Oreochromis niloticus: one gene and its partner. The protein of the gene in region 1 purifies or fractionates together with the protein of each later gene. This does not show direct contact. Links are inferred from orthologs where the notes say so. Each region holds a gene or a part of one and is shown on either strand. Other genes may lie near its edges.

Evidence for each region.
Region 2: the proteins of irf2b (region 1) and interferon regulatory factor 2-binding protein 1 purify together in Homo sapiens (affinity purification with mass spectrometry; 4 studies listed by BioGRID and IntAct, counting the BioPlex papers as one, with this or other methods). This does not show direct contact. The link is inferred for Oreochromis niloticus from reciprocal best matches to the Homo sapiens genes IRF2 and IRF2BP1.

Annotation. Positions count from the first base shown.
Region 1 is NC_031966.2:34,355,796-34,367,019, reverse strand, and holds the start of irf2b (interferon regulatory factor 2), read right to left. Parts: upstream 5,005-11,224; 5' UTR 4,800-5,004; intron 4,776-4,799; exon of another isoform or gene 4,664-4,775; intron 1,860-4,663; 5' UTR 1,854-1,859; coding exon 1,767-1,853; intron 1,680-1,766; coding exon 1,580-1,679; intron 383-1,579; coding exon 206-382; intron 74-205; coding exon 27-73; intron 1-26. Other genes in the region: caspase-3, read right to left, coding at 7,125-7,354, 9,142-9,262, 10,238-10,413. UniProt on the Homo sapiens protein: Specifically binds to the upstream regulatory region of type I IFN and IFN-inducible MHC class I genes (the interferon consensus sequence (ICS)) and represses those genes. Also acts as an activator for several genes including H4 and IL7.
Region 2 is NC_031975.2:3,514,706-3,525,786, forward strand, and holds interferon regulatory factor 2-binding protein 1, read right to left. Parts: upstream 5,643-11,081; 5' UTR 5,371-5,642; coding exon 3,586-5,370; 3' UTR 3,561-3,585; intron 2,535-3,560; 3' UTR 1,605-2,534; downstream 1-1,604. Other genes in the region: hnrnpl (heterogeneous nuclear ribonucleoprotein L), read right to left, coding at 7,170-7,228, 7,351-7,446, 7,569-7,626, 8,646-8,847, 8,971-9,092, 9,923-10,173, 10,277-10,345, 10,611-10,646. UniProt on the Homo sapiens protein: Acts as a transcriptional corepressor in a IRF2-dependent manner; this repression is not mediated by histone deacetylase activities. May act as an E3 ligase towards JDP2, enhancing its polyubiquitination. Represses ATF2-dependent transcriptional activation.

The DNA of each region.
Region 1 (11,224 bases):
GATCGCCATCCTGTACGTTTATCTACCTCTTTATTTCCTTTGGACTTCCTCTCCTTGTCTGCCTTCTTCTTTCCTGGAAAAAAAAACAAAACAAAAAAACCATTCAACTGAGTTTCCAGTAACCTCAAACAAAAATGAGGAAACATTTGAGTTTCGACAGAATGATAAAACTGAAAGAATTTATGACGACAGCAGCAGCGCTCACCTTTCTTGGCATTTCTCTCTGAGGAGGAGAGCATCTTATAAACTCTGAAGGCATTCGTTCCCTTTTTGATGCTTTTATCCTTTACCTCCTCGATATCTGGCAGGCTGTTCATGGCACAGCGAAAATTAGCCTTCCATGTCTTTGGATCAGGACGGTCTACACCTGGCTGGTATTTACCTGATTCAGATGCAAGAAGAAGGAAAAAAATCACTAATTTGTCTTTTTGTGGTGGATTTCAGAGAAGCGCTTCATCACTATGGAGGCAATTATTTATGAGCTAACCAGTGTTACCAGTATGCATACAGATTCTTGTTGACTCTACATTATTGGTTAGTTACTTGGTTAGTTTTTGCTGTTTAATTTTACAGCAGCTTGTATTATCTGACATGTTCACTTCAAATCAAATGAAAGTTAAAAAAAAGGAACATATATTTCTTTGTATTGTTACATAAACTTATTTAATATGATACAATTAGACCATTTATTGGTCAAATTAAGTATTGCAATCAAGTACAGGCACCACCAACAAGACTGCAGCTGCTTTTAGCTCAATCTGTAATAAAGTAGCATTTCTCTCTATGGAAAAGTTTGCCTGATATATTTAAACAATGTAACAATTTCCCCAATATTATCCACCAAGGAGGTCATGTGACTGGTTTGCTTTGTTTGTTAGCAGGATTACTCCGAGGTGAGGGTTTACGCAGCTTAGCAGTGATTAATGCTTGATCTGGATCTGGGAATTTTAAAGGGGTCGTTTACCACCGAGGGGCAAAAGCTGGACATTTTACATCATATGTTCTCACAAACCAACCAAACTGAAATGTAAAAAGGGACTGGGAGACATCATCTTACAGTCTTCAAGGAGAAAATGAATCACACCCTCAGACTGAACGTGTGAACATCCTTCTAGCAAAGATTGCACAGATTATATTTTCTCATTTACTGCTGTAGCAAAGCAGTGGGAATTACCCTTACACAGACACTATGTGCTTCCTAACAAAGTTACCTGAGAGCAGATACTCAACCTGTTCAGCACAGAGCCAGCACACATGGTGTTTGCATCAGGTAAAAAATATGGAGTCAAACAAATGCAAAAGGACTTCATTACTTTAGGGACGGTAAACAAACAAGAATTTCCTGATGCTACTGTTCTCTGTTTAAGTGAAGCTCAACTTGGATCCTTTTTTAATGTTACTGACTCAGGTTAGTAACGAAGAGGAACACTACTCCCAGTGATATGAAAAGGAGGCATTTTATAAATCAAAACTCTCTGAACTTAATCACAGAAGTGTTTCAGTGTGTAGCAGGCATGAAAATGAGAACCGCTAAAAAGGAGAAGCAGCAGCGGAGGCTGCAGTTAAATCTGTGCAATACCCGTGTGTATGGCCCATCTCATGAAGAGCGGAGCATCTTTCTCCAGGTCCCAGCCATGACGGGCAGCGTGCATCCAAGGAATCTGGAAGATCCTCTTCTCCTGCAAACAATTTACATTGTTTACATCATCTTAAAGTTACAGTGTGTGTGTGTGTGTGTGTGTGTGTGTGTGTGTAACAACACTCACTTTGTTAAGCCATTTCAGTCCTGGAATCTGACAGGATTCGATTTGTTCCTGTAACCAGGGTCTCATCCTCATTCGTTCTACTGGCATTGCGGTCTGTGAAGTCACACACACAGATACGTACAGTTATTATGAATGTGTGAGCACTGGTACGGATACTGGGATTCAAAGATGGTTTTGTTTGTTTTTTTGTAAACATTATAGCAAATTGTAGCAACTTTAAAAAAAAATAGAAATGCTGTAATACGTGATCTGCTGTGGTGCTCACTGTGCCAACAAGAGCCAAAACATCTTGTTTCACACAGGATGAACTGAGCGGCTGCACCAAGCCAACGACAAACAAGAACGATTCTGAACCATGAATCATCCAGAGCTACTCAAGTAGAGCTGGAAATGAGCATAGCAGGCCCCCCACTGATGTTTTTTCCCCATTCATAGTCATCATTTCAGAGTAAGGTGTGGAACACAGTTGAATCAGATCTGTGTGTGCTTGTAAAGATAAGACTCTTGGCCAGGCTCTTTAATGTGTGCGCAAAGAACAGCAGCCATAAAACACGGTTCATAAATAAAAATGTCAGCTCATGTTTGTAGCTCTACACTCAGCCTCGCGCTGTTTGTTCCAGAGAACGACACCTTAAATAAAACAACAATGGAACAAGAGGACAACAGGAAAAAACAAACAGAGCTCATAACCGTCCCAGAAAACTTTAGCCCACCCATGCCGCTACATTTGATTTAAGGGCAGGGTGATGATCTCTGCACACAAACGTGATCAAAGTCCAGTCAGGCTGACACTCCCTGCCAGCGCAGTGCTTCCCCAACAGGTTAAACAAGGTGAAACAGCGCAGCATCAAATCCAAAATATCAAACAAGGCTGAGCCTTTCAGCTGCGTCTGTTCAGTGAAAGCTCACAATATCACTACAGAAAACACAAGCTGAAAAAGACACAAGGAGTGCAGTACAAATGGCACACATGGCCAAAACACAGGGCCCACGTCCCACTTCAACCCAGCCCCTGGTGCTCGAAAAGGAAAACTAAACAACCCCCGCAAATATCAATAAGAGGCAGCTTTGTGTCACCAAATCTCAACACAAATGACTTCAGCAAACACAAACTGATATTTCACCTTTAAAGTCCGATCAGCACAAAGCTCTCGGTGGTTTGCACACCTGAAGCATCTTTGACTTGCTCACTGTTTACAACCCAGTCAGACTGCCATCAGGTGCAGGGCAAACGCTCCTACAAGCAGATCCAAGTATGCTGCGGGTGCTTTCAGGTACTGCTGACCTGAGATCAGTTACACCTATGCAAGCATTCAAAAACAGACTCAAAACCTTTTTGTTCGTGCAAGCTTACACTTGTTTACTTCAAGGCACTGTAATCCTACAGTTTTTTTTTAATGTTTTTTATCTCATATATGAAGCACATTAAGTTTACATATGATGAAATGTGCCACTGCTGTTTAACTCAGTTGCAACAGGGGGCGCTGCACTGATCACTGTGCAAACAAACTGTGCTGTGCGCTTCAAAAGCAGACTTTTGGTGATCTTGCAAAGAGAGACGACAGTCTCAGGTGTTCCCAACAGACTACATGACACACGGCATCAGTTAGAAATCATTCACACAGGTTACTTACAGTCACACGAGTGACTCAAGACAGGAAAATGATTTATTTATTCACAGATAAGACTGCTCATTATTTCATAAATAGTAAAAACGACACAGGCATCTCTTCATCCTCATTTATCACCCAAGTTCTGACCGCAGCTTGCCTCACACGTTAAAAGCAGCACGCTCACATTCACAAATATGAGCATCTCTTTGTTCTTAAATTACATCTGTGGATATTAATATTTTGGTCATTCACAGACATGCAGTTTAACTACAAATATACCTGTAAAAACTTACAGTTTTATGTCAGAGTATCTGACACTGACAGAAGACATTTTCTAACAGAAAGACAATTGAAGAAAAAAAAAAGACCCAGATCTATTTTAACACATTCGCCAAGTTCACTTAACTCAGCACTATTTAATGTTTCCGCTCAGTTTTTCAGTGAGACAGACTACATCTAAGTCCTCTGAGAGAACAGCACATGGTGTGAATACATTTCAACAAGCAGATGTTTAATTGGTGGAAGAGGGAATCATCACAGCGGGACTTTAGGGTTAAATGAATGCGGTTAAACCGTTGACGCAAACTATACTGATTTCTGACCAACATGTCATCACAGTGCGTGGCAATATGTGTGCTTTCTTCTGTTCTTTTTACTAATTGCACAATGAGGAACATTTGCTGCTGATATGGCGGAAAAATTGGATCAAGAAGAATTTAAATATGTATTTACACTGTGTACATAACGGTGTCTACACTCAAATATAGTCCAACTGTACATTTAAGAATATAACATTCAATATTATAACATCAGTAGTACTTTTTAAATTATTAATAGTATTACTATTATTATTTCTTCAGTGTATAGCACATTTATTTTTATACTGCTAAACATGGTAAGTTACCCGTCACGGAGTTCAGACAATATAACACTTGTAGTGTTTTCAGTGTAAATGACACGCACTAAGACCTGAATACTGTTCACGGCTCAGTCCCGCTGCTACTCAGATTATAACACGGTAAATACACACAGTTACAAACAGATAAACACTGTACACTTCAAAGAGTCTACGTTATAGCGGGAGGATGCTAGCAAATATTAACTAATTCCAGGTAAACAGCCACATCACCGCTGACTTTCCAATGTTAGTAACATGTTTGTTCTGGAGTCGAGTCTGCTTTAGCAGCGGGGGCAAGTCAGAAGTTTATCGCGCTCTGTGTGTCTACCGCCTGCCACCGAGCTGACCCAAAACAACGAAGTCAAAAGTGAAAATAAATCCCATACCGAGTCATGAAACGCGGAGACAAACTGCAGAACTACTTTCACTTGAGCTAGGGATCCGTCATGTCGCCCTGTAGGAAGTCAGTGTGGCCAGGGGAGCGCAAGGCAGCGACGTTAATATGCGGAAATAAGATGTTACCTGTTAGGTTTGGACGGCCTCGGGCTCCACAGTCCCGCTGTCGGAATAAGAAGAGCAGCCAAAGCCGGACAGGTTAACGTGTTCGAGGTTTTAAGTGGAAAAGGGAAAGTGTGGTCGTCGTTTATTTCTGTTTCTGCATTCAGACCGAAAGCAAAACAACGGCCGCTTCGGGAAGTGGGGGCCAGAGCTGGAAATCCCCCTCCTGCTCTCGTGCTCTCGCTTTGGGTCGGTCTCGAGCGTCGTGAAGTCTCGCGTGCGCTCGCACACGTCGAAGCGAAGATGGCTCACTCCGTTGTGTTTTTTTTTTATTATTATTATTATCTTTTTGGGGGGGCGGGTTATCTGTTTGTTTTTTTGGCGGCAACCATGACATTTAAGATTAGCCTAATGCTCGTAGCTTAGCTTTACTTTCTGGGATAATTATCCGTCAGATTGCACAGGAGTCACGTGCTCTGATACAGAACAGCGTAGGATAGAATCACCTAAAAATAAAATTGGTCTAAATTCTAGTATTTACCATTCACCTTGCCACGCCATTGCAAAACACCAACATTAAACGTCTGCACGTCTGGGATATATATACATAGCTCAGTGACTAGTACCTGAATACATCAATGTCCTAGCCAACTGTAGCAAATACGTGTTTAAATGTATAAGCAGGTTGACACACGGCGGAAATGACCGCCCCCCCGGAACGTTTATTCTTAGGACATAGACGATCTTTGAGCTGAATTTCATTTTCACTTCCTCTGTGTCTCTCTCCCCCCCGTCGCCCCCACATCTCCTCTTTTTTCTCCGCCGCTGCAACTGGAAACGAAACTAGAAACTTCTCACAACCGTGTGTGTGTTTAAGGGGTTGGCAGCAGCACACCTGCCGTTGTGTGGAAAGGACACCTTTGTAATGTCTCTCCTCTAAGTGTGTAGCTGTGGCGGTGGGGTCCCAGAGTCAAGCTGCAGTTTAGAGTAGTGCACGCAGTGATTCCGTTCATTCTTTAAAAAGGAGAATCGAAACTGAGCTGTGCAGTTTCACATGAAAATGTCTGCAAGCTAGCAGCAGATCGACAGATTCCCAACACAGCAGCATGCATGTATGCATGACATGTGTCTGTTTTTAATGGAAACTCTGAAGATAAGGCTTCCACTGGCACACTCACACGTACTGAAATTCCCCATTCATTAATGATTGTTACATTTGGTGTCATTTGTGCTGCCGGTGACTCACTCAGCACACTGTTTCTGTTTACAGCAAAGAGAAAACAGCTTTGTCAAAATCTGGGAATGGAAAACGCGATGTCTGAGAAGCTCCAACCTCCACAATTGATCCTCAACAAATGGAAAGTGTGTGCCAGCTCTCCACAGGGTCAGGGTTATCTCTGTGACACACACAGCTGAGCCCGGGAGGGGTCTGACAAACCTATCCAAGGAGTTTGTATTTCACAGCAGTGGGCCCCAGACAGAAGCTGCCTTATACACAGAATACAGATGGTTAAAAAGAAAAACGGAAGAATTAGAAAAAGAAGAAGAAGAAGCTGACAACTGTCTAAACAGAAAGTCTTATTTCTTTTCTCGTTTTCAAATTAGCACTTCCACATGGTCGATGCATCAAGGGTTAAACCGGGCCACAGTTTCAGTTCCTGGAACCTCTGCAAAACTGCTGAGTCATTAAAGGCCTCTGAGAATCACATTAGTTGTTTCTCTGGCCTCCTCTAGTGGCTGCATGTTCACACAGTTGGTTCAAAATACAAAACATCTGGCCTGTCACATGGTCAGCTCCGTGAGTGTGTGGACTCCTGCTTCTGCACTCCACCAGAGCGGACTTTAAATCAAACAAAGAAGATGTGACTGAAGTGCGGACCTTCAGCTTCAATTCAAGGATTTTAACACATGTATTGAATTAAATGTTTTACACATAACCTCCCATTTTCAAAAGCTCAGAAAGAACTGATGATTCAAAGTGTTGAACCTGAGTTTGGTAGATGTTCACTAGAACTCTCAATATGAGGTCCAAAAACATGCCCTTGTTAGGCCAACAAAACATAAAAATACGACAGATGGCGAAAACATGTGGAGCGCCCAAAACTGTCGCAACACTGTTAATGGTTTTTTTCACTTTAATACAAACATACATAAACACACAAAATATAAAAGGTAAACTGATCCAACACTAAAATCAATAAAAGTATCACTAATCTAAGTGCAGATTGTGCAAATGGGTTTAGTCACATTTAAATCACTGTCATCCTGCTTTGCATCAGCTGCAGCACAGCATCAGACTTTGCATTTGGTCAAGGAGAACAAAGATCACTGAGGTTCAACCATGTAAATCTAGACGGGGAAGTAAAAGTCTTTGGTCAACATACAGACGATACAGGGGATCTGCTTATTGCGAGCAAATCCAGGCAGGTTGCTGGAGGACTCGAAGTAGCGTGAAACACCGTAGTTGACTCGCGTCATGATCTGCATCAGATCCAGCTTCCCACTGTAGCACTCCAACATCTCACACAACGTCAGTATGAACCAGGAGCCGTAGGTTGTGTTTCTCCATGAGTAGTATCCTGCAGGAGGGTGACAGTGTTAGTGCTCTTAGAAAACAACAACGAGGAGGCGATCGTTCACTATAATACACAATCCTGACACTAATAAAGTAGCTGGACTGGTGACTGTGACAAAACAATGATCTATGGGAGGGCATCTGTTTAGTTCAGTTGTGTGTTTATTATTACTACGATGGTACTCTATTTAATTTAATATCATTTTATGCAGTAAAATATCAATAGAACTGATACTGGGGCTGGTATTGGATCGATACTAGCCCGATACGCTCAATGCTTTAGTTTGTCTGTCCCCTGTAAGTTGCTCTCATTCATCAGAAAGGAGACGTGTGTGGAAGCAATGCTCCTCTCATGCAGGCACGCTTTGCTCCGCCCCCTCCTCCCTGCTCTGCTGCATTCCGATCTCCTGTGGTCATGTGACTCAGCAGCATCAAGCAGAGCCATGTAGGTTGCAGTGAGTGAGAAAGCAATGCATTGTTTAGAGTCATTGTGGTGGAGGTGTGGCCTCTGGCCTGCTGCAGAGGAGGGGCGACACAGTGAGCTCACAGGGAGGCGTGGTTGAAACACAGGTGTGCTGGGTCAGGTTAGATGACATCTTCTTGGCTTTTTCAGTGACAGCAGAGCAGAAAAACGTGGAGTGACTGTTTCCAGCGTGCAGAGCACCAAAACAACAGAATCTACTGCCATAGACAATAAACTGAGCAAACTGACAACGCTGTGTGTGTGTGTGTATGTGGTCCTTGCCACAGTCATCTCAGCTGTTACTTTAGCAGACTGATCACCTAAAGGCCGTATTAAGACATTTAATTATACATCCAGCCCACTTAAAATCAGTTAGATAAATGGTTGTACTGGAGCAGAAAAAAATATACCTCAAAAATGAACCATGAAAGACGTCTGAATATAATGAAGTGTTGTATTTTATTCATACAACAAATTAAAAACAGATATTCCAGAGTCAAAATCCATGAAAAGATAAACTAGTTATTGTAAAAAATCACAGAGGTTTAGTGGTCATTAAAGTGTGTCCAGAATTTTTGAAGTGATGATGATTTATGCCATAGATCACAACACTCTGCTTTCCTACATCAGTTGCCTTTTCAAGTTAAAAGTCTCTATATTTGGCACGTAGGTCGGTTTCTGAACTCACGGTTTTCAGAGTTGTGTTTAATTTTTTGGTTTTTATTTCCATTCTTCCTTCAGGCCGTCTGGTTCTTGGTATTGTTTCTGTAAGTCTGGTTTCATTGGGTTTTTTTCCATTAGTATCCTGTTCCTCTTTTCTTCTCAGTTAGAGTTTGTTCTTTTATTGTTATTCATCCCGTAAAGTTCTTGTATCTAAGTGTCTCCCTGTTTCCGTGGCTATCTTTCATTTCCTGTTTTATTTTGGTAGTCATTGTCTCCTGTGTTTTGCATTTAGTTTGACATCTCCTGCGTCATTATCCTAATAGTTTCCCCCTTTTTTTTCTCCGACATGTTTGAGGCATATATTTTAATGTCCCATTTCTGTATGTGGGCACCATACTGAGCTTAAAGCATTGATCTTATCGCAGTAAGCGTGTAAATCCCTGTCTCTCCTGTGTTCTTTATCAAAGTGTCTATTTTTTACCTGCCATTTCTTGTCTTTTAATTTTTTGGAGATTAAGTATTATTTGCACTTTTTTTGGTCTTTTTTATGGACTTTGCCATCAGTTCAAATAAAGCTCAGCTTTTCCCACTGGCCTCCATGTGAGTCCACCGTTTAGCCAAAATGTGATGTAGTCTATTAAGATAACAGAAAACACTGTCTGTACCTGGAGCGGTGGAATAGGCGTATAAGAAGTCGGCCTCCACAGGAATCTTCTCAGACGTCTGCTCGTCTCCTCCACTGTCGGTCTCAATGACTCCATCATCCAGGTTTGTACCACGGCATGCCTGAAAAGGAAGGAGAAGCAGATATTATCAAAGTCCTTCTTCAAGCTCCAGTTGGCAGAAATCTTGAAACATCTGTATAAACATCTGTATAAACATCTGTATAAACATCTGTATAAAGTCACCAGTCAAATCTGCTAAAAACTGCTTGTATGTACTTTTTCATAAGCTCCATCCATTCATTCATTTTTGGTCACTTATCCATCTCTGCTTCGCAGGTACACTAATCCAAGTAGAGATAGCCAGACCTCCCCCACCCAGCCGCCTGCTCCAGGTGAGGTGGCTGGGAATAAGCTAAGCGTGACTACCCTAATGTTTCTGGTGGATGGAGGATGTAATGTACAGCTAGACATCCAGTTTTTTGCATGTATTTTTAATCTTAGCACCAAAAGCATTCATGTTGTCACAGTCAAGCAGGTGTGTACATCCTTGTGTTTAAAAGCTGTTATAACTTTCCGGAATGGACTAAACCAAAAACAGAATTTCAGGAAAAAACTTGTGTCTGTCATCCTCCTGAATACTGAGGAAAACTAGCATCTTTCAGTTGAACTCATTTTGTCCACTACAGAGGACATAATGAATCGGCTGGGTCTCAGGAGGGTATGTTGAAGTAGAGCTGGGTGTAATACCAATGCGTACCATAAGATGGTGCAGTGACACAGTGTAACATTGTTAAGAGGAATTTGTAATTCAGAAAGGAAGCCTCGAAAAGGCAACGCCTCCTGAGGAAATGGGGATAACTGCTCTCTAATATTTGGTATTAGCTACACCCGTTTTAAGGTGGCATTAACTGTAGAAAGGGAACATAGTCTGGGAACATGTAGTAATTAACTTTTTCTCATTGAAAGTGAGTTTAGACTTCTTATCAAAGTTCCAAAGCAAATTACGATCAAAGGAAATATTTTACAATTTGATCAAATACAAATGAAAACATGACTGTATTCACAGAAGTGTATCAAATTGGCATTATTAACTAACCTGAATGAAGAAGAGCTTTGGCTTCCCCACCAGACCCGCACAGCAGTCTCCTCTGAAGTACTTCGCCAGGGTATCGAACCTTTCAGGGCCATCGGTGCCGTATATCACGCCCTCATCTCCATGACTAAGCAGCACACACACGAATGATGCATTGTTCTTGTGGTCCTCCTTGGATGCTGCAAACACAGCAGAATAGATGGGAAACAATATGAGTTATTAGTCCAGTTGTTTTAAAGAGTGCTACTAAAATAGGTTTAGGTTTTTAGGTACTTCATATTTTTGCAGTACATGTACGCTGTTTGAGCTCCTGCCTATTAAAGCTCACACTCCCAAACAGTCCAGTCTGCTTTGTTAGCTAGCATAGCCCTCTAACAAATGCTAGCAGCTAACACGAAGCTTTGGGAGAGCTGTCGGTGGCTTAGTAGCACATGTTATGCCGACTACTTTATTTGTTAATTAAAAGTGCTCACTTTACAGCCATGTGTCATTTCTAACATTTTACATATCAAGTTAAAATGATTTAAGATAAGATAAGAAACTTGGACAGGGTGATAAGATCCAGGCTGGAAATCTGATCTGTTAAAACTGTTCTTGCAAACAAAAACAAAAACATCATGGAATGGGAGGAAAACTAAACACAGCAGGTTAAAGTCAGTTATGGCGTTTAACAGGAAGCTGGTTGAGCAGCACAGACTTGGGATTGATTTATTCCTGAGGATGGGCCACATGTCTCTGGGTGGTGTAGCAGCTGACTGAGCCGAGGGGCAGCTGAGTGTAATGAACTCAGGTGTGTTGCTTGGGCAGTGGCAGCACACAAACGGCCTCTGATTAACTCATAATTGGTTCTGAGATCTTGCATCATGGTGTTGTGGTTAACACTTTCCTTGTACACATAAAACATCCCTGATTCAAGAGGAGACACACACACAGGGTTGTGTACTCCCTGTGCTGGTCCCAGTATATGTGAGGGTCGTGTCAGGAAGGCCA
Region 2 (11,081 bases), on another chromosome or scaffold:
GTATGTTTACAGCTAAACACATTTTGGTTTGATATTAGTTAAAGCTCTGTGGGTTTGTTTGTGGTGTTTACAATATTACATATTATTGTTTGGTCAAGCTTTTTATATCATGTATGGCTGATCACTATTAAACATTCACATGCACTTAGGGCTGCAGTCAGCATTTCCTGTAAAAGTGACATATTCATGAAAGTGAGAATCCTGGTTGCACTGAACAGTGTAACAGATTAGAGGATCCTGTCATGAGTACACATATTTCTCATTTTCTGTGCACAGTTTGACACTAGTCAGAGTGATTTATTCTCATGGACACAAATGCAAATTTTCACCAGTCCCAAGAAGCTGGCTTGGTTTTTACATGTACGTTTTTTTGCTCCTGAGCATTAATGTGGTTACCAGAGATCAGTCGTGTGAGTCAAAAGTGGGTAATAGCATTTTACAGCTGAGTGCACACATCTCGAAATGAATATCGGGGCCTCCCACTTTCAACAGTAACAGACCAGCTTCTATTTACTTAAATTCTGGGGTAACCAGCGGGGTGTACTGTAAAGTTAATGGTTTAGCTATGTTGAGCTTAAACTCAATTTTTTTGTCACATAAATGGCTTTTCTACCTGGCTAAATCAGCATGGTGTTATGTTTGGAGTTTCCCTTTAAAATGGGTTGGAAGCCAATATTACAGCATGTTTTAAGCACAATATAGATCGTCTGCTGGAAAAATGTTTTGTTTACGCAAATTGTTGTACCTTACTAAAACCACTCAATGAAGCATAAACTATGCATTCCATTGTCATGGGAATGTGCACGTATTAATTTGGAGATTCAGAAAACATGTTTGTTTTTTTTTATATATATATTTATATACCCGAGTCTAATGTGCCAAGTCTCACTTACCCTGCTGAAATTACAGCTACTAAAACACATACCAAGAATACCTGTTTAATCAAAGCAACTTCACTACTTTAATGTTAAAATGTAGCCACTTTGAAGCTCCAGAACTCCAGCTGTCACATTAAAAACAAACAGCACCAAAGAGCACACTTGGCAATTACAATTATTACTTTAAATGAAAATGTTTTACCGCATCTATGCACTGAATTACCAGCAGTGTTTTAGTTTACTGTCATATTTTTCTTTATAGATTTTATTATATTATTCTTTATAGATTTTAAACAACCAATGTATTATTGGCTGATAATGTCTCTGTCACTCAGCGATCATTTTACAGGGAAGAACAATCACGATGCGTAAAACACACCTTTTCCATGTGTGTGCCGACAGAGCCTGAAGCAGAAAGCACAGCCCAACAGATAATACCACCATTGTGTTACCAGAAGCCTGGACGTGTTGATTTTTATTCATAGTACACCCCTCAGGCTGTTCATACTACTGCAGCCAGGACACCTAAGTGCATGTAAATACACATTGTTGTTCAGTGTGTTTACAACCCTGCTAATAGTGGTTTGTGGGAAAGATTCTAATTATGCCGGGGAGCTGGTGTGGGATTTTCCTTTTTTTCTGTCAAAAATATTTATCTAATAAAGTTTTATATAAATGCACAACTGAGGCTTCAAAGGGTCATTAGTAGAGAAGCGGCAAAATGACTAAGTTTTAACTACATTGTCATTTATTGTAGAATTGACCTGTTAAGATCACATGAATATGTGGGTTAACCATTGAAGATTGTGATGCTAATAAATTTACCATACATAGAATTCAAAAAGTAAATAGACAAAACAAGCTTACTTGTATGATAGAATAACTAATTAGTGACTGATGCCAGGGTTATCAGTGAATACAGCATACACAGCTACAATACAATAAAATTACATTGAGCATGAAGCCATCTTTGGTCTTCTCATCACTATAAACAAATACATAGAAATTTGTATTGTATCAAAAATAGAAATTACATAGCCATATTGAAAGAAAATTCACATTTTTGACACACAATATAAAGAGAATAACAAGTGATGTATTGTAGGTTTACATTTTTTTCCCCTTGGCTTTAAGGACCCAATGGTTTTAACATTTTTTGAACATTCGTTTTTTTAAAGAATTGCATCATTCTGTCAAACCATGTAAAAAGTATCCTGCATCTGTGTCAGACAGGATGCAAAAAACAACAACAAAAAAGATCAGATTGTCATTGTTAGGGGGGGGGGGAAAAAACACAAAAACAGCAAAAAAAAAATTTTTAAAAAGAAAAGTGTGTGCTTTTAATCCTGGGCTTTTTGAAATGAGGCCTTTATCACACTAGGAAAAAAATAAAAATAAATAGATTTTTTTTGTTGTTTTTTTAAAAAAGGATGGAGAGAGATTGGGTCGAGACTTGATTCGGTCACGATGCAGCCCCGATGCGCAGACGTCTCCCTCCTCTCGTGAGTGAGTCTTGTCTCGAGTTACCGGTCTTTGTGTAGTGGTCCTCCTGGGCTTCAGAGTTATTCGGCTCTTGGAGGCACACATGATGAACTACAGCCAAAGTGGACCTCTGCTTGAGATTATAGGTAAGTGCTTTCACTGTGTTTTAATCCACTGTGGAAAAAGAAGAAAGCCATGTAAGAATATCAAACAGCAGAGTCACACAGGGATTCTTTGTCCCACAGCTCAGACCTGATATTGAGATGCATCTAATACATACAGGTAACTCCACATTCAAAAATATTCTCCTCACACAGTAACATCAAGAAGATATCTGATATAATTCTAAAAGAGAACAAAGAGGCTAAAAACAGTACAAGGCTCATGTAGATGAATTTTTAAGAAACACAAAGTTGTGCCACAGATGGTGTGCCCCCACAGAGCCCTGCTCTCAGCATCATGGAGTCAGTCTGGGATTACATGAAATCTCCAACGAGACATCAGGTTGTCTAATGCCTAACATACACTAACACTGAAATGTGGTGCCTTCTAACATCTAAAGACAACTTGTCAGAAGTCAAAGTTTTAGTCATGTATTATTCCATCACTTTGGATCCTGTCTGAGCTCTGGCCAAGTCATATGAGCACCTCAGATCTGATGATGAGGGTGTGCCACAACTTCAGCAAAACTATCAAGTCGTCATGAGGAGATTTCAACCATTTCTAACACTGAAATCACTAGTGTAGCAGTTTACACATTTGCTTAGTTCAATTCCAGCCAGAGACACAAATACATTTTCGGGTTGCATGTGGCATAGTGACACCTCGTGACAAGGAAGAGTTGAAAGTAACTCAACAGTGTCACTGAAATCATCAGAGAAATTGGTTGGGCAAAGTTAGCACCTACAAATTATTTTTTTTTCCCCAATTTGGTCAAAAAACAAAAACCTTGTCTGACATCTACAACCAAAGATATTCTAATTTCTTAGAATAGTGTTGAAGAAATATAAGAAATATTAACACACAAATGATGATTTGGGCTGCAGTTACCCTATTTAATAAAAGCACATGTGAAACCATATGCCTGCACTTGTCTGCCATTTTTATTTATTTTTAACTGCTTTTGATAGTTGCTTTAACACTCACTGATAAAGTTCAGCTATAAAACAAGGAGGTCTGCTCCTCTCAGGTTTTTCTCACCATTCACTGCCAAAAGGATGGAGGGTCAAGGGTCGTTCTCCTTCTTTACTGTCACATCTCCTTCTCCAGCTAGGATGGTTGAGATCTCACCCTGCATGAAGGCCCAAGGCACAGTGGATCCGGCCAGGGGGCAGCGCTCTCCGCTGGGGCAGTACACCTCTCCTCCTTGACCTTGGCTGCGGATGAACCCTCGGGTGCAGGGGAAGCAGAACTTGTGGTGCGGGACTGAGGGACACTGGACAAAGTGAGTGTCCTCCAGGCGCTCTCTGCAGAGGGTGCAGCAAAGCAGGGTGCCTGGGGTGCTACTTGTAGACTCCCCAGTGTTTGTGTTGTTACTTTGTCCTCCAGTGCTCAGACCCTGCCCTACAGCTGCCTGGGAGACTGAGGTGGAGGGAGTCGAGGGGCTGCTGCTTGTGGGGCGCCCAGCTGAGGAGGAGTGGGCTGTGGACATGCTGGGGCTCTCTCTGGCCATGTGACTGGAGCTCAGGCCATCTGCCACTCCCATAAGTGCTGAGATGGGTGAAGGCTGGTTGTGTAGACGAGGTGGGCCCTCTTGAGGTACGGCCATGCCAGGAAGAGGTTCCATGCCTGAGTACGTGCCCCGGGGCCAGGGCTCCCTCACAGGGTGTTCGGCCCTTCCCTCACTCTCTCCGTTCTCAGAGCCTGGAGAAGCCTTTCGGCGCCTGGTTGTGCCCTTGGCTGGTCCGGGGCGTCCAGGAGCTGCCAAAGACAGCACTGGGTCTGGCTGTGGCAGAACCTCTGGGATTGGGGGCTCTTTAAACATACGCACACCATCATTCAACAGCTCAGACAGCCCACGCCAGTCTCCGGTCCCTTGCCGTTTCTCATATTCCACGTAGCGCAGCCCAGAGTTTACTGCCTTACCAGCATCTTTGGCAGAGTCACGGAACATCTGCCTGACCAGATCTGGAACTCCTGAGTAGATCATTCCAGAGCCAGAGGGATACTCCGCGAACACCTTCAGCTCAAACTCTGGAGTAGCGCTAGCATCAAAGGCCAGAACACGCCCCATCAGATTATGGTCTTTCCTGAAGCGCACATTGAAGGGGACACAGCTGCTGAGAGCTACCAGCACATCCCGAACTGCTTTGGGACGGTTAGGCCACCCTTCCACTCTACTACGAGCCACCTCATTCAGTTCAGCCATTACTTCACTGTTCCTCCACACTGCCGGATCTATGCCCACTAGAGTAGAAGTGCTAGGTCCCATACCCAGCGACACAGCCTGTCTTCTGCCACTGTCGCTTATTATGGGGCCAGCTGAGACGGCAATAGGAGCGGCCCCAGCTCTCGTGCTTGTTAATGGGGTTAAAATGCCATGAGAAGCTGTTGCTACTAGCCCCTGAGCTATCAAGGCATGGGGTATGGTGTTATGAAGACTAGAAACTACCCCAGGCATAGCCCGACGAGTGTTCGGGCTCTGTCGGCTGCCCTCTGACAAAGCTACATCTTCAGCTCTGTGCAGACCATTGGGGAGGCGAGAAGAAGCCCCATACTCACCCCTCCCCCGGTCTACACGCTCTCCGTGATGCCGCCCCGCTTCAAGGGGCCCAGCAGAGCTGGGTTTGCCCTGCTGTGGACCGGGGGACCTGCCGTCTAAAACTCCGTGAGTGCTCTTCAGCTGCCTGGCAGTTTCAATGAGGAGTTCTATCCGGTCTGCGCCGTCGTAGTTGACACAACCCCGGCATACAGCTTCGCTGAACTCCCACAGCATAGCCCAAGGCATCTTGGGCAGGTCGCAGAGGTAGCACCATTGCCGTCTCGAGGAAGACTGCGAGGCGGAGGACATGTTGTTTACAGGCCCTCGACCAAACTTTCTTCGGAGGCCTACACGTTACGGACTACGTTTTGCACCGATTCTTCAGTCCTCCGACACCATTCGCCACATACCGCGAATTTTACAACAGAAAATAACAAAAAATTAAGTTCAAAATCCGAGTATTGGCGGTAACATTTAAAACTTAACGACGTCTTCTTTCTCGTTTGTTCGTGTCAGCCTGTGTGGAAGGAAGTAAAATGTTATAAGACACCGGAAACACCTACGCGGCCAGGGCTCAGAGCACTATGGGAGACGTAGTTTCTCTTTAAAGCCATTGTTTCTTATTTTCTAGAATTTGAATATTAAACTTCTTTTGAGCAACAAAGTAATCAGACCACATAGAAACAGAACAGTTGTAAACAATGATTAAAGGGGAAAATTCAGAGGGACTACTTTACTGGCGACAAGATACATAAGTAGCGGAGACACTGACGCTAGTCGGACACGTTTTTCCGTGAAACCTCAGTTTAACTAGAGCTGGTTTGTTTTGGGATGGGAGACAGAAAACATGGCTTGTGTTGCGGTTAATCAGAGGAAAGCCAGTGTCGGTGCTGTAATGCTGGAGACATATTATGAGAAATATTATCTCATAACATATATATACTCCACTTCCTGCACAGACGTGAGAGTTTTCAAACTCGGCTTCACTGGGATGATGAGAGATCACATAGCGATATATATATCTATATATATATTATAGGAGAATAACTCTGGAGAATAATCTTATAAGGACAATACAAATATGTTTGCAGCGAACAAACCCCAGGATATATTTTTCTATACCCATTTCTTGAGATGTATAAAAAGTTACAATAGTGAATGTTCATTTTACCTATGCTCAAAGTTCCAAATGATGTCAGTAAATAATCTTTGTGAGCTGAAAGCTCATCGTTTTTTCTGTTGTCAGTGAGCGTGGATATTCCTATTATGGTCTCAGGTACACAGCTCTGAGTAGCAACCTTGCCCACCTGCAGGGCAGTTAGGACAGGCAGTAAGAAGAAAGATGCACCAGGTTCCTTCAACCTAGCTGTCTGAGGGAACATTACAGGAAGTCATTCCTTCCCACCGCTATCAGACTCTTTAATCATCCACTTGGGTCAGGTCCACACACGAAGAACAGGATTAACCAAATTTATACCCATATCTCTTCATTTTATACAAGTGCTTGTATATTTGCTGTTATAACAACTACCCCCCCCTTACAATCCCCAGCCAGCTGAAGCCGATCTTTTCCTGGCAGGTGTTTCTTCCCGTTAAAAGGGATTTCTTCCTTCCCACCATCATCAAGTGTTTGGCTACAAGAAATAGTCTGATTGTTGTAGTTTTCTCTATAATATTGTAGGGTATTTGACTTGGTGCTTTACACTGTAAGTGTAAACTGGAGCAATATGAATAAAACTGATTTCACAGAATGCATTTTATTTTCAAGAATGGATTTGAAGAAATTATACAACACAAACAATCTCTGATTATGTGACACTGGTTAAATTATTAGCAACATTATGGTTACTGTTGGCTTTATTTAATAACCAAAAGACAGAAGGTGGGGGGCGATCAAACATAGTGTTGTGAACATACAAAATAAACAAAAATTTGAAGAACATGGTAAAAGTTAAATAAATTATTTAAAAAAAATTATAATTTAAGTAACATTTTCTAAAGCACGTTAATCCTAGGTATTGTCAACACAGCTTTAATGGTACGTGAAACAGAACTGCAGTATACTCTATCCAAAGACAGAAAACATTACAAATGGTTTCAAGGAAGATTTAGTTGGCATGGTGTGTAGTTGAGAAACACAGCTTCAGTGTATAAGGGTAAGGCCCACCTAGAATATAGAAGCCGGAAGAAAAACTTTAATCATAAAATGTAGAAAATGTCATTAAGCGTTCAAATGTACAACATACCAAGAACCACGTTGGCTTGTTGATCTACATGTTAAATACTTACTAGGGTTTTTCATCTGATAATGGTTCATCATAGCTAGTGCTTCCATGGCATCATTGATGGATTCCCACTCAAGCAGGCCAGATGAACTCCGCTCACCTGTCGTGTCACATGACATTACCATACTGAATAACACTTCTGTGTTAAAAAGCAGTTAGGACACAACAGCACAACCAAATTATGAGATAACTTTAGTGACCAAGTTACAACATATTACTCACTCTTTCCAGTGAAAAGTTTCACACTTGTGGGCCTCTTGATTCCAAGTTCATCACAGACCTGAGCACAGAAACGCGTTTCAGTGAATATGTGAGATGGATGCAGTGTTGCCAACTCGTCAGTAAGGAAAATCGCTATTGGCTGTCCTAAAAGTCGCTAAATGGCGTAATCTCCTAATTTGCATAATTGGTCCTACCGATGTAATTGTAACAGACGCTGTAAGAGAGAGAAATAACATTGTGGAAGAGACAAAGTGAGTTCAAAAAAAAAAAATTAAAAAAAAATACAAACACACACCCTAAAAGCATATAGAATATATTTAGAACTACAAATTAAAATTTCTCTTAGCAACTATTGTTTTCAATAATTCCAACCCTCCTCCTTTATCCGGACTTGGGAACAGCAAAAGTGACCCGAAATAGGCACTCTGGTGGAGTTACTGTTTTGGTGTGTGTGTGTCTTTTTAACTAGTTTTAAACCTTTTGATCCACAAAAAGTAACAGTAAAAGAAGAACATTTTTAACCATTAACAATCAAAATGGACATAGCAAGCCTCACCAGACAGCTTCAGTCGAAATCGGATGTATTTAGTTAAGGCTCTGCAAGGACATCCAATTTCTAAGTTTGCAATGATTGGAATGATGTACAGTTACCACTGCTCCCCCCCCGCGTTACAGTCCAGGGTTGGAGCAGTGGCTTCACTCATGTGCAATTCATTTGCAGCTTGTATGCGTAGGGGTGAATATCTCCTGCTCTGACATCAGCTCGGGGCGACTGCTGCGTGAGGACTACCTGCCGCCTGTGAGCGTTTTCGCATGGGTGAGGTGCCCACAGCAGCACCAGCTGCATGTTGAGAGTAAGAGCGATACGTGCTTTGACGTGAAAAAGTCATCATAAGTCTCCAATAACACCAGAAAAAGTCGCCAGATTTGTTGCTAGTCGCTTTTTAGGAAAAAGTCGCTAAGGGGGTCTGAAAACTCACTAAATATAGCAACAAAGTCACTAAGTTGGCAACACTGGATGGATGCTTTTGGCCATCACAGATAGCAACCTTTGTTGCTTTTTTTTTTTTTTTTTACCTGATTAAAGATCTCAGCAGAGATGTCGGGTTGTGCATTAAAGAAGTGCAAGACATTACTCGGATGCTGAATTCGGTTTTTAGCCGCCTGCTCTGGTGAGGTGAAGCGGTTGTTGCGTGATCCATGGAAATCTTTAAAGCTGCTTGTGTTGTCCTCTAATTGGTAGCACTGTCCTGGCACAATAGCCTGTTGCTTGGACACACTGAAAGAAATAAGGCCAGAGGTCTTGCATCTGTTTTGTTTTTTTAATTTTTTTTAAAGGGAGAAATTTATCTCAAAAAGTCTGTGCTGATGTTTCTAAATTGTTTCAGAGAGTTGTTCTTACCATACATTGAGTTTCTGTCCAAAAAGGAAGTTATTGTTCAAATGAGTAATGGCCCTGTCCACAGAGTAACAGTCTCCCATCTCCACCATTGCTGCTCCAGGTTTACTCTTCATGAACTTGACCTGAAAGAAAAATAGACCAAAACAATATTACCCAGCACTACACACAGTATTTAAATATGCAACTTCTTATGATGACTTTTTTTTTCAATGGGACTTTACCTTTCTAAATAAACAAAAAAGACCTTCAGATTGTCTGAAGGATGGACTTGAAGCAAAAGGATGTTAACTTTATGCCCGTCTTTCTTCCACTTTCAGCATCAACAGTAAGCCACACCATCACATAGTGGGCTCCATTTCTAAGCTTCTAACATCAATAACCAACAGGCTTTTTTGCTATTGTTAGCAATGTTAGCAAACAAAAACAATAAGGTTAGCCAGTTGGCTGCCTTTGGATAACAAGCAATCTGTCCCTCTTAGCAGGTAAGGCGTTACCTACCATTAGAGAAATGAAAGCTTTATCCAAAAAAGATCATCTGGGCAAACTGGAATTTGGCTGTCAGTGGAAAAAAACAAAAAAAAAAAAACACTGGCGGCATTCAGTGCTACCCCTCGGCCTCCTAGCAGATACAGCTAGAAGGATATTTAAGTTTATATATCAGTTTCAAAATTCTGCATCGCCTTGTTCTCAAGTGATCGTATTCAAAAAAGGGTTTTACTTCCTCCGAGTATATACACTTGTTTGTTTACTTATAGTTGCCATAGTTTATTTAATCTAAATAATGTTTAGTAGAGTTTTCACTATGTTTCAAGATTATTACACAACCAAAATGGCCGACAAGTTAGTATCACGTGCTAAGCGGTCACATGTCTGCAAAATATTATAAACGCCCTTCACTTATGGGGTCTAACAGCAAAACAATGACTTGATGCTTCAGTCAGCTTTCACTTACCCTCTCTACATTGCCATACAGGCAAAAGATGTTGAAGACCTTGTCAGCATTGATCTTAGAGGGCTCCAGGCCATACACCATAAGAACTGGAGAGTCAGCGTGAGGACCGTACTCAGGCGGTGGCGGTCCATATCCAGGACCGTAGCGCTGGTTACCCCGACCACGCCCACCCATGCCTGGCCCCATGCGATGGGGAGGAGGGGGGCCGTAGCTGTCATCGTTGTAGCCATGATAACCTCCTTGTGGTCCACCTTAAGATGAAAAAACAAGCAAAACAAAAAACATAATTGTAACTGATTTTGAGCAGTGTTCATTTTTCTACATGTCACACTAATTTGATTATGCGATGTTTACCATAATCAGGTGGGTGATCACCCAGAAGAGCAGGCTGCCTCTGCCGTTTGTTAGGATTGGCATTGGGATCTATAATAGCAAAAAAAACGTTGCCCATCAAACAGCTTCTTTACCACGTGTCTCAAAGGTACCTTGCGTGGGCTACAACATGCTAAGGGACATGTTTGTGCATGGCATGCAACTGAAGGGCCTGAAATCTTTAAAAAGTGTTCAAACATTCTGCAGGTTTTACAGGTGACATAATGGAGATTTTTTTTCCCACAGTGACTTTGAAAGAAGATAGCTTTCAAATTTTAAAGTCTTATATCTGCCATTCTAGTACAAGCACACACACCTTGTGAATTGTTCCAATTGCCTTCACCATCAGCATCTGTGCAGGTACACATGACACACGTCAAATCCAATAAAACAACATGAAAAAAAATAGCAATCTGGCAACACTGTATAAAGACATTTCATCACATGCTCAGTTGCTTGGAATAGAGACATTAAAACAGAAAATCAAAGAGTAAAATACGCAATGTGCTAAGAGCAGCACCTGCTGTTTTATTGAAAACTATTTGAATATCAATATACATTTATTACAAGCCAGGACACAGATATAACATGAGGAGTGAAAAAACATCAAGCACTGAAACTAATAACATGGTGAAAAATTAAAACCAGAGAGGTCAGCTGATTTAACGTCAACAAAAAGTAAGAACAGATTTATTTTTGTTCAAAGAAGGCTTTCCTTCAGCTCACTTCACCAAAACTCAGTAAATATTCTTCTTAAACCAGTAGCTGTTTAGCAGGCACCTCTTCC